Tribolium castaneum: one gene and its partners. The protein of the gene in region 1 purifies or fractionates together with the protein of each later gene. This does not show direct contact. Links are inferred from orthologs where the notes say so. Each region holds a gene or a part of one and is shown in the gene's direction. Other genes may lie near its edges. The genes, in order: eIF5, eIF3g1 and 14-3-3epsilon.

Evidence for each region.
Region 2: the proteins of eIF5 (region 1) and eIF3g1 purify together in Homo sapiens (affinity purification with western blotting; 3 studies listed by BioGRID and IntAct, with this or other methods). This does not show direct contact. The link is inferred for Tribolium castaneum from reciprocal best matches to the Homo sapiens genes EIF5 and EIF3G.
Region 3: the proteins of eIF5 (region 1) and 14-3-3epsilon purify together in Homo sapiens (affinity purification with mass spectrometry; 3 studies listed by BioGRID and IntAct, with this or other methods). This does not show direct contact. The link is inferred for Tribolium castaneum from reciprocal best matches to the Homo sapiens genes EIF5 and YWHAE.

Annotation. Positions count from the first base shown.
Region 1 is NC_087402.1:3,658,160-3,662,288, reverse strand, and holds the start of eIF5 (eukaryotic translation initiation factor 5), read left to right. Parts: upstream 1-1,188; 5' UTR 1,189-1,306; intron 1,307-1,381; 5' UTR 1,382-1,507; intron 1,508-1,725; exon of another isoform or gene 1,726-1,918; intron 1,919-1,934; exon of another isoform or gene 1,935-2,164; intron 2,165-2,262; exon of another isoform or gene 2,263-2,337; intron 2,338-3,012; 5' UTR 3,013-3,285; coding exon 3,286-3,572; intron 3,573-3,626; coding exon 3,627-3,930; intron 3,931-3,982; coding exon 3,983-4,129. Other genes in the region: Klc (kinesin light chain), read right to left, coding at 63-91.
Region 2 is NC_087395.1:17,787,853-17,790,721, forward strand, and holds eIF3g1 (eukaryotic translation initiation factor 3 subunit G), read left to right. Parts: upstream 1-1,301; 5' UTR 1,302-1,418; coding exon 1,419-2,264; 3' UTR 2,265-2,313; downstream 2,314-2,869. UniProt on the Homo sapiens protein: RNA-binding component of the eukaryotic translation initiation factor 3 (eIF-3) complex, which is required for several steps in the initiation of protein synthesis.
Region 3 is NC_087401.1:11,229,082-11,233,261, reverse strand, and holds the start of 14-3-3epsilon (14-3-3 protein epsilon), read left to right. Parts: upstream 1-1,252; 5' UTR 1,253-1,355; coding exon 1,356-1,419; intron 1,420-4,180. UniProt on the Homo sapiens protein: Adapter protein implicated in the regulation of a large spectrum of both general and specialized signaling pathways. Binds to a large number of partners, usually by recognition of a phosphoserine or phosphothreonine motif.

The DNA of each region.
Region 1 (4,129 bases):
GAAAGGCAAGCAAGACCGCCACAAGAACACAAAAGCTTGAACTGAAAACAAAACCAACTTACATCCTATACGCGTTGATCGTTTTAGACATGTTTTTTCGAATGCGTCCTCTTAATTCCAATGAGCACCTCGTTCATCACCTCACGATCGTTTAAATTGAGCGTCTATACAAAAACCTTATTTATATTTTTGATTATTGTAAAAGTGCAAGGCGTTATCACAAGACGGAATATGAGACAATGCAAAAATATATTTTTGGTCAACGATCACCCCCGCAATCAATAATAAGGCCCCCTAGAACATCACGCCGCCTTCCCTTTCCACCCCATAGCTCGAAAAAGGGTGTGCCACTTTCGGTAAAAACGCGAAAACTGACGTCGGTGCATCAAACGTACTGCGTCGCGACGCCGCGCCTGCGCCCCATAGCCCGACGAACCCCATCAGAAATTTGCACCCCTTTCGATCGGAAACCAATACACGTGTGACGGCGGGGGCGTACACTCCGAGCCGTGACTCACGCCCGATTTTTACAGGGGCGCTTCCTCGTTACTTTGCCAAGCGTGACGATTGAAAAATACTTACGTGTTGCTATCATCCATGCCACGGGAATGCACTGCTCACCTGCTATGGCAATCAGTAGACCATAGCGTAACCTGCGACATAAATAAATCACAAAAATTGACCAACGGAAGGAAGGACACCGACACTTGAACTGTGCCCCCAAACGATCGGGGGGACGCTTACTCACCTTTATTTGGCAGCCAAGCGTTAAAACACTCAAATTGGGCTATTTTTGACACTGCAATCACTTTCTTCTGACATTAATGGCTGCGCTTTTGATAACTCTCTTCTCATTCCTTTTTCTCTCAGTGTTAGAAGAGTGACAGATGATTGCCAAATCAGGGGCGCCACCTACCGGGTGCCACTAAGCCGGGTTAAAGTAACACAAATCAGGGTTCTGGCTTGCAAAACACACCCCAGTAATTAATTAAACACTTTGCCGAAACGACTGTGGACAAATTTAGAGGGCAAAGCCCGTTTTAGCCGATTTTTTCGTGTCAATTTAGGGATTTAAGTTTTGTCCGGTTGCGGGTGCGCACCTGTGAGTTCGTCGAAAAGTCAGGCGACTATCTGCATATGGCGATTCAGTAAAGTAGCAGCAATTTAGCTGTGTTGTTGGTTTTTCCCCCAATTGTGCCTTCAAACTGGCATTTTAATTAGTTTAGTACTTTGTCTGACGTGTCGTCTAATTGTTTGAGCGTTAATTCGGTCATAGATGGTCCGTGGAAGGTGCTACAAATAAAAGGTGAGATCACGTTACATGCATACTTTTTGCTTATTTTTTCTGCCTAAAAATAAATCAAACTCGGTGTTTTTGCAGCAAACTCCAGCCGGACACTTTCCTTGATCGACCCTTGAACGGACCTTTTTCTTTAGTTTTTGCTTCTGTGGGAGTCATCGTCCAGAAGGGCGCTACCATTTTATATGACTTTAGTAAGCCACAAAGGTAGGTGATAGCGTTATCAGTTCGATTTTTGCAGTAAAAGCATGACGTAACATCCAATTTCCATAAACAATCGAGCACGCTTTTTATTTTTTTTTGTACGAAGGCAGCGCTGGTGTCACGTGACTGCGCGGTCTGTTCAAATAAACCAGTGGAGGCGTGTTTGCGGGGTTTGTAATTTTCCGGGCGAGCAGTGGCGTGCGCTATAAAAATAATCGTGTCGCATTGTGGTGATCGATATGGCCGTGGCATTGCGCCGGTTCGACGACATCGATTCGCGCCGCGACGCTTACGTGGCCTCAGTCTCGGTGCGCGCCCTGAAAAACCTCAACATAACTGCTCTCCAAGCCACGACCGAGGGGCAAACGGCCTCCCCCATGCCCATGCTGTCGCCTTTCCACGATGGTGAGACCCGTAAGTTAAGTAGGCAATGATGGTCTGGCACATGTCAAAAAATTTTCGTCAAATGTAGTTCCGTTCGAAATTTTTCATCGTCTCGATGTACCACCGACCTATTATGGTACTTAATTATCACGAAACGGACGGTTTTGTCGCATTTTCAATGGTCACGCAACCAGTTTATTACCGCAAGTTGTGATTACAAACAGACCATATGGTAACCGGAAAACAGGCAGATTCGATGCGAATTTTGCGTTAAAGGTAAGATGGGGGCCTTTCCGGAGCCGGGGCTCCGGGATAGGGATGCGCCGGCGCGTGACGTCACCACGTCTCTCGATTTATTTCCTTGTTAACTGTTTTTAAAGTGACCCAGTGTCATTTAGAAAAAAATTCATGAATTTGCTGACGGGTTCGCTGCCGCTCTGCCCCATAATGTGAGTTTTATTACACAATTTGTGCCGTTTTATTCACTCGAAAGCACGCTAACGCCGGTTAGATAACAACATTTGCATAAAACGATTAAGTTGCGCACGAAATTAGGTACAAAAATTCAAGCCGATTGTCAAATTTCTCGTACGTATGCTGATTTTACCCTTAATGCAGTTGGAAAACAGAATATTGCAGATTTACTAAGTACGTTTTTTTTGCTTTTATGCACTTACGGGGAACTAAAACTAGAAGGCGAAACGAGACAAAAAATTTAGTGCGGTGGAAAAAATTCTTCAAAACGCTGAGAATAAAAAAGTGTAAAGAAACAGTTGTACGGGATTAAGGCCGTGTCGCTATCTTTAACGGTGTCGGATCTAAAAATGTTTTTTTAGGGCCATTTTATTCTGAGTTACAACTTTATAGCTAAAATTAAATAGAAATATTTTAAAAGCAAAAAGATAACGCTGTTAATATTTACCATTTACAATGATTTTACGTTTTTTAATGGAATTTTTTATGTATCTTTGAAATTTATGGCTTAAAATTCAGCACGGCATGGCCGATTAATTTAGCAATTTCGGTTTATTTTATATCATTAAGCGTAAAACAAGATTGATAACGAAGTTGCTTATTCTGAATCTCGTTGCATGAGTGAAATTAACACGAATTGTTTCTTCCAGAGACATTATTAACCAAAAGCATAGTTGGGAGTTTAGGGCCCGAGCCAGCGAGGTGTATGACTTCGCAGCGACGTGAGCCCACCTGTTATAGGACGACAAAATTTTCATCGACAAATAGGCATCGGAAACTCCAGCCCTTCAGAGAAACGTGACTGACGTCCGAATTGCGAAAAACAGCAGCAAAAATTCTTTCACCACCAGTAATCAAAATAATAAAATCACCGCAACCATTGACATTAAAATCGTCGTTGGTACGCCACTGGCACCACAACCATGGGCAGCGTCAACGTCAATCGCAGCGTCAGCGATGTCTTTTATCGCTACAAGATGCCCCGGCTGATGGCCAAAGTGGAGGGCAAAGGTAACGGCATCAAAACGGTCATTGTTAATATGGCCGAAGTGGCCAAGGCCCTAGGCCGACCCCCCACCTATCCGACGAAGTACTTTGGCTGCGAGTTGGGCGCTCAGACTCAATTCGATTTCAAAAACGAAAGATTTATCGTCAATGGATCGCACGATGCGGGCAAACTACAAGACCTACTCGATGGCTTCATCCGGAAGTAAGTAAACCAAACTCGAAAAAATATCTTTAATTCAAAAAATAAAAAAAATAGATTCGTTTTGTGTCCCGAATGTGAGAACCCTGAAACCGAGCTGCTTGTCTCCACCAAACGCAGCACCATTTCTCAAGGTTGCAAGGCATGTGGCTACCACGGCCCGCTAGAATCCAACCATAAATTGGTCACTTTTATTTTGAAAAATCCGCCAAATTTAAATCCTGCCGTTCAGGGCTCGTCATTGACTGAAGGTAAGAGATCAAAGAGGAGCAAACGCGCCAACGGAGACACCAATGGAGACACCAGTCAAGTCGACGATCAAAACGAAAGCTTGGAGGCATCAGTTAATGAAAATTCCAAGGTAAGTGACGCGGACCGCAGACTAAACAGTTTGAAATTGAAACGTTTGGCAGAACGGCGATGATGACGACGCACACGAATGGCAAGCTGACGTGTCGGAAGAAGCCGTTCGCGCCCGAATGCAGGATTTGACCGAAGGTGCAAAAAATATGACCATCAATGATGATTTAGAAAAGAGCGAAAAGGACCGAATGGATATT
Region 2 (2,869 bases), on another chromosome or scaffold:
GTCCTAATTTATATACAGGTGTCTCAGTAATGTGAAAAAGTCCATTATTGGCTTAAATTTTAGAAAATTAATTTGACTCACCTAAAATTATTTTCAGGTATTATAGGGTATTTTTGAAATTAGCTAAAATGCAAACATATGTTTTTTTAAATAGAACACCCTATATTTTTTTGCACTTTTATATAATTTATAATAATTTTCAAAGAGGACTAGATTTTTTTTTGATTTTTTTTTCAGTTTTAAAAATTATTTTCAGAATTAGATAAAGCAGTGACCGCATTTTAAAAAACTTTCTCGCCTACAGCCCGAGTAAAAGAATGTATCCTGGAAATCAGTTTAAAAAATGTGCTGTAGAACACTGTGGAATGTGACCAAAATTCGACTCTTTTTAGCTCCCTTTATTATAGTTTGGAACACATTTCTTTGGCAACCCATTGAATACATCCTTTGGATATTATGTTTGATAAAAAATAAGTTTCATCCAGTAAGCAGATCGGTCCAGGACGACCTTAGCTGGGATCCTCTATTAGCAAAATCAAATTTTTTAAAATCACGTTGCTCAATTTTTACATATTTCTCTGAATGGACGAAAATTTAATTAGATCTAATTTAGCATTCCCTTTATACATAATCGTATTTTTATTGGATTTCAGAGACATTTCAAGTTATTTTAACTCAATTTCTCTTTTTTATCTAAGGCGGCGCAGAATGTTTCTTCTCTAGAAGGCTGTGAAAGATTTTTTCTAAAGCAACAGAATCGTAGCCGTAGCCTTCTAGAAGGATACCTAAATTTTCACAAATGTCTCAATTGGCGACAATACATTTATAAATAATAAGCTGCATTTCTGCACATCATCAGAAGCAACATGAACCAAAATATCAACTATTTTAATGTAGGTATACTTACGGCGTTACACAGTTGCGACAGAAAGTTTCACAAGCAAAAAAACTTTATTATAGCCAATAAACGGATGCAAATTTAACACTCCCGACACAAATTTAACTAATTTAAGAATGCAAAACATTAACTATTGGCAAAAGAACGCAAAACACAAGTCACACATTTTCTGTGTACAAAATCTAGTAGTTGATGGTTTTCAAAGCCACCTTTCCGAATAAGTTTCCCAATTTTAAAATTTCATTACAGAATCCTGTAATTATGTGTTTGTGGGTTTGTAACACGACAGCCCCGTTTGTCGGGGTTTATTTATTAATCGGTTTATTAAATAAATTTTAAAATACATGGCTTTATTAAATATCAACAAAATTAAATTGTATTGCAAAAAACAAAAATAAATAATTTGCAACGAAATTCCCCAAAGGTTGGCGAGTCTGTTGTTTGACAGTTTGAGGTTAACTTTTGTGAACGTGATTGTCGCACCATATTTTCCAAAAAAACGTTTCAAAATTAGCTAAAAATGCCTGTTGCCGAAGAGGTCAAGTCCAGCTGGGCTGACGAGGTGGAGTTGGAGGGCGGGTCGCTCCCGCCCCCGACCGAGGTGTACGAAAACGGCTTCAAGATCGTGACCGAATACGCGTACAACGAAGACGACAAAAAAATGAAAATCGTGCGGACCTACAAGATCGAGAAGCGCGTCGTTTCAAAATCGATCGCTTTCCGCAAGACTTGGAAGAAATTCGGCGAGTGTGCCAACGACAAGCCTGGCCCGAACCCGGCCACCACGATCGTCGCCGAGGACGTGTACATGCAGTACATCACGAGCAAGGAGGAGGACAACAAGCAGGAAGACGACGCTTTGGAGAAGCTGAAGGCTCTGGGCGACAAGAACGTGGTCAAGTGCCGCACCTGCAGCGGGGACCACTGGACCTCCAAGTGCCCCTGGAAGGACACCATGCTGGCCGGGGGCAAAGTGCCCGACGACAAGAAGGGCCCGGCGGTTCCGTCAGGGTCGGATGCGGGCAAGGCCGGGGGGTCCAAGTACATTCCGCCGAGTTTGCGAGATGGGGCCGTCAGGAAGTCCGATAATCTCAATATGGCGCGCAGAGACGACGCCACGGCGATTCGAATCACCAATCTTAGTGAATCTACCACTGAGACTGATTTGGAGGATCTGGTGAAGCCGTTTGGCCCGATCCAGAAGTTGTATTTGGCGAAAGACAAACAAGCCGGTTATTGCAAAGGATTCGCTTATATTCATTTCAAGTTTAAGAACGACGCTGCTAAAGCCATTTCTATGCTTAATGGACACGGTTATGATCATCTTATACTCACGGTGGATTGGTCTAAGCCACACCCTAATTGAAATGTATTTTATAAGTTTTATTTGTATTGAATAAAAATGCTTTAGCTAATGTTGCGTTTTTTCAAACCTACAATACAACAAAATACGTAGACATTTCAGTTTTAAATAATTCGAACAGAGGTGAAGATTGGTACAGGTCTTAGGTACACTATTAAAATAAAATATAGAAAATTCTCAAGTGTTGAAACTATCAGCTCTTAGCATTTTTCGCGTAAACGGTAGGTAAACATTACGGTAACTTCTCGGAAAAATAAAAAATCCCAAGCAATTGAGTTTTTTTAACTCGAGAGGTTTGTAAAGGCATACAATACCTGATAGAACTTTGCTAAAGCTAGTTAATTGTTTTGTTTTTTTTGAAAAGGTAAAAAATCTTAGACAATAGTTTAAGAAGTCTGCAAAATATTAACTATTGCTGGCTAATTTAGCAAATAAATAAGGTTGGTTTTTGGTTATAAACTAACCAATAAAAATAAAATAAAAGGTTAATAAACTAACTAAAAGATTTATTAACCAATCAAAGAACCTTCTGGTTATTTAATATTAATAAGTAATAACTTGACTGGACAATAATTAAAATGCGAATATAGGATTTTCCTTTTATTTTT
Region 3 (4,180 bases), on another chromosome or scaffold:
TGTGATATTTTTGAAGTTTATTTTTTCTGATTTGATATGTCTATTTGTGTAACACATTATTTTTACATATTAAAAAATAACAAGATTTCGCTTTTTCTTTACAGTAATGTCGGAAAAAAAATCTTATTAATTGTATGATTGCCTGTCAATATATAATATAATAAATTTTATTTATTTATTATTATTTTATTTTACAAAAAAATCTCAATCCAAACACCAAAATTAAATCTCATCTGCGGTAAAAAAATACTACATTGCACTTCACTAAGTCATCAAATGGTAGTGACACATTGTTTTCAATTTTTTTGCTTTTTTATGTATTAAATTCTGCAACGATCGTATTATTTGTTCAATTGGAAATAACTTAAACATAGATTATTTTCATAATTTCACATTTTTTTACTTTAATAACCGTTCACAAAATTTCTAGATTATTCACACCTTTTATGTGAAATAATTTTTCCATGGCCAACTGCTTTCAAATATTTTAAATATATTTTTTATCAAAAATATATAAAAATATCAAACTGTATTTATATTATTTTCAGTTTAAAAAAAAATAAGCTTTTCGAAAATGTCATAGCCAACTATGATTTCTATTTAAAGAAATACAACTTTATGTTATTACAGCTAAACGATTTATTAAAAAAATTCACTGATACCATAATTAAATTCTCTATAAAAAAAAGCCATATAACGTCTTTGTTTCAAATGTCTATATTTTATAATAAGGAAGATATAAATTTTTTAACATTTGGCCAAAATATCAACTTTTGTTTATAAGTCGAAAACAAAAAACTATAGCGAGATGCGGTTTTGACCAAAATTATTTTCTCAAAAAGCGGACCGGAAAATGTGTCTTGTTTTTCTCTAAACCTTTTAGTTTCGGAAATCCCCTATTTGTGCATAAATTTTTTATCTGTATTTTTAAGTGGCCTAAATTGTTATTTTTGCTCTACTTCTGTATAAACACACTCAGTTAACACCAAAGTAGCCGTAAAGCGTCTTCTAATCAGTGATTAAAATTTAAACTGGCATTAGTTCGTAAATCTGAGCATCTGATTGGTCCAATTCCCCTGATCTGGAAACGACGCTTCTAAAAACAGTCCCTTATTGTCAATCGAATGCTGTCCATTAGGACGCATAATTTAATTATTGTGGCATGCAGTGTGTGAAAGATAAGCAGGATTAAATAATTATTTATTCAATTTGGCGCCATTGTGACGTGGGCCGGAGGCAGCCGATGTGCGTCCGATCGCGTTCGGGTTTAGTGTGGCGGGCGCGGCCATATTGGCAGTACGTTGAGTGTCTGTGTTTTTTAGTGTTGTGAAATTTCTATCGATAATCATCGCAAAATGTCTGAACGGGAGGATAACGTCTACAAGGCGAAATTGGCAGAACAGGCCGAACGTTACGATGGTGCGTATATTTCCCCCCGATTCGGCCTCCTCCCGGCCCAAACGGCCATCATCTCGGGACGCTCCTCCATTTTCCGCCGCGGGGGTGCCCCGCGCCCGGGCGGCGGCGGGGCTGCGCCCCCGTGTGCATTCCGCGCGGGTGACTCATCGATCGGCGCCCGGCCCCGCAGCCCCCGCCGGAAAAAAGCCAAATGTCAGAATTTTCGCGACACCGGCCCACTGCCTATTGCGTAACTTCCGGTTTTGCACGTGCGTCACGTGATGGGGGTGGCGGATTCTGCCCCCGACCTTGTCCCATTTGCGGCGGAATTTTACGCTGCATTTTTAAAACGGGATTGATTTTTGAGGGCGGCCTGCACAGGGGTCGGGGGTGGCAGCGCGACGGCGGCGGCGAATGCCAATCGATAATCGCAGAGAAGAATGAGGATTTACCGAAATTACCAACAAAAGATGCACGTCGGGGGCGGGTAACTTGACTGCGAAATTTAGGGGGTTTGGGGGGTAAACATTTTATTGAATTATTTGTTCGCTCACGAAACGGCGAGACGTAAAAACGGGAGAGTTCTTGCCTAAATTTTTCATCGCGTCAATTTTTAATACAAACGGTGAATTTTTTACGTTTTACGTTACACAGTTGGCATTTAAAAATCACTAATAAGTACAGTCAGAAGGAGTGAAATTGTCGATACAATGGCCTACTTGTTTTAAAATTTAAATGCAACTAAAGTTATTCAATTTTTAATTTTACAAAATAGAAAGTAAACAAAGTCGATGGTGTTATCACAAACAAACACAAACTGTTGACAGTTTCGTATGTCGTCAAGTCCTTGAACTTAAATTATTGCAACGACGAAATTAGTTTTTTTACTTTGTCAACAGTTAACAAAAAATGCGTCAAAAATGTCACCGGCTTTTACATTCAACATTTGTGAAATATTAATTAAGCCGGAAATGTACCAACATTGCGTTTGGCTGGTGATTCATCCACCTCACCATTTTTGTCGAAGTTGATAGATATCGAAAAAATGTGACAAGTTGCCATGTTTGGACAATTTTATTGCATTTGATTGTACATTGTTTTATAACAGGTTGGATTAGTTTGGACAGTTTTATAGATGTAATTTAATTCCCGGTAATTCACCGAGAAACGATAATTCATTTTTATCAACTGATCGATTCTCTTATCAATAAGGGAAGACTGAGTTGAATGTCCTGTTTAAATTTCAAGTTTGTGTTATGCTCGATGAGTAATCAAATAACGTGATGTAAATGATGAGAAAGTACAAAACGCATTTTAATGAACAAATGTGTTACGAAAGCGAAAAATTCTATTGAAAATTGAAACACCGATTAATAAACGCCTTTGCTCACTGGAAACCAGCCTTCGTTTTTTGAGAAAATAATTTTAAATCTCAACAGAAGTTGACATTTTAGCGAAATCTTAAAAAAATCATATCTTCCTTATTATAAAAGATACACATTTGAAAAAAATACATTATACAGGCACTTTTTTTCAGAGAATCTAATAATGTTATCAGCGATTTTTTTCAACCATTCGTTTAACTGTAATAACATAAAGTTATATTTTTTTTAAATAGGAATCATAGTTGGCAATGACATTTTCGAAAAGCTTATTTTTTTCTGATTTAATGTCTATTTGTGTCATACGTTAAATTTAAATAATTAAGAAAAAACAAAACATTTCGCTTTTTCTTTATAGTTGGCCATGAAAAAATTTTGGATTTGTAATTAAAACTATGAAAATTGTATTACCTAACAGTAATTATAATTTGATGATTTTTTAAACCCTAATTAATTCAAAAACAGCATAATAAATTTTTATTAGATCAAATTTTTGCAATTAATAAAAATTATTTGTTTTTATATAAAATGGCAAGCTTACGTTGTATTTCTACATATTTTCAAATTTTAAACATGCAATGACGGAAGAAGAAAAATCTTATGATTGCGCATCAATAAAATTTTATTTTACAAAAAAATGACAATTCAAACTCCAAAATCAAATTCCACCTGCAGTAAAAAAATATACAACATTATCAATGTCACCTCCATTGCACTTTACTAAATCATAAAAAAGTGACATCAAATGGTAGTGACATATCGTTTGCTATTTTCTGTACATTTTTTATGTAATTAAAATCTGCGACGCTCGTATATTTATTCAATTGAAAATAACTTTAACATAGCTTATTTTGATAATTTCACATTTTTTACTTTAAAAACCGTTCACAAACTTTCTAGATTATTCACACCTTTTATGTGAAATAATTTTTCCATGGCCAACTACTTTAAAAAATTTAAATTTTTTTTATCAAAAATATATAAAAATATCTCACTATATTTATGTTGTTTTGAGTTCAGAAAACAATAAGACAAATAGACATATCAAATCAGAAAAAAATAAGCTTTTCAAAAATGTCATAGTCAACTATGATTCTCATTTAAAAAAAATACAACTTTATGTTATTACAGCTAAACGAATGATTAAAAAAAATTGCTGATAACATTATTAAATTCTTTGGCAAAAAGTGCCTGTATAATGTCTTTGTTTTAAATGTGTATCTTTTATAATAAGGAAGATGTTTTTTTTTTAAGATTTCACTAAAATGTCAACTTTTGTTTATAAGTCGAAAACAAAAGACGATAGCGAAATGCGGTTTTGACCAAAATGATTCTCTCAAAAAAAGGACCCGAGAATGTGTCACGCGTTTTTCTCTAAACCTCTTAGTTTTGGAGCCTAT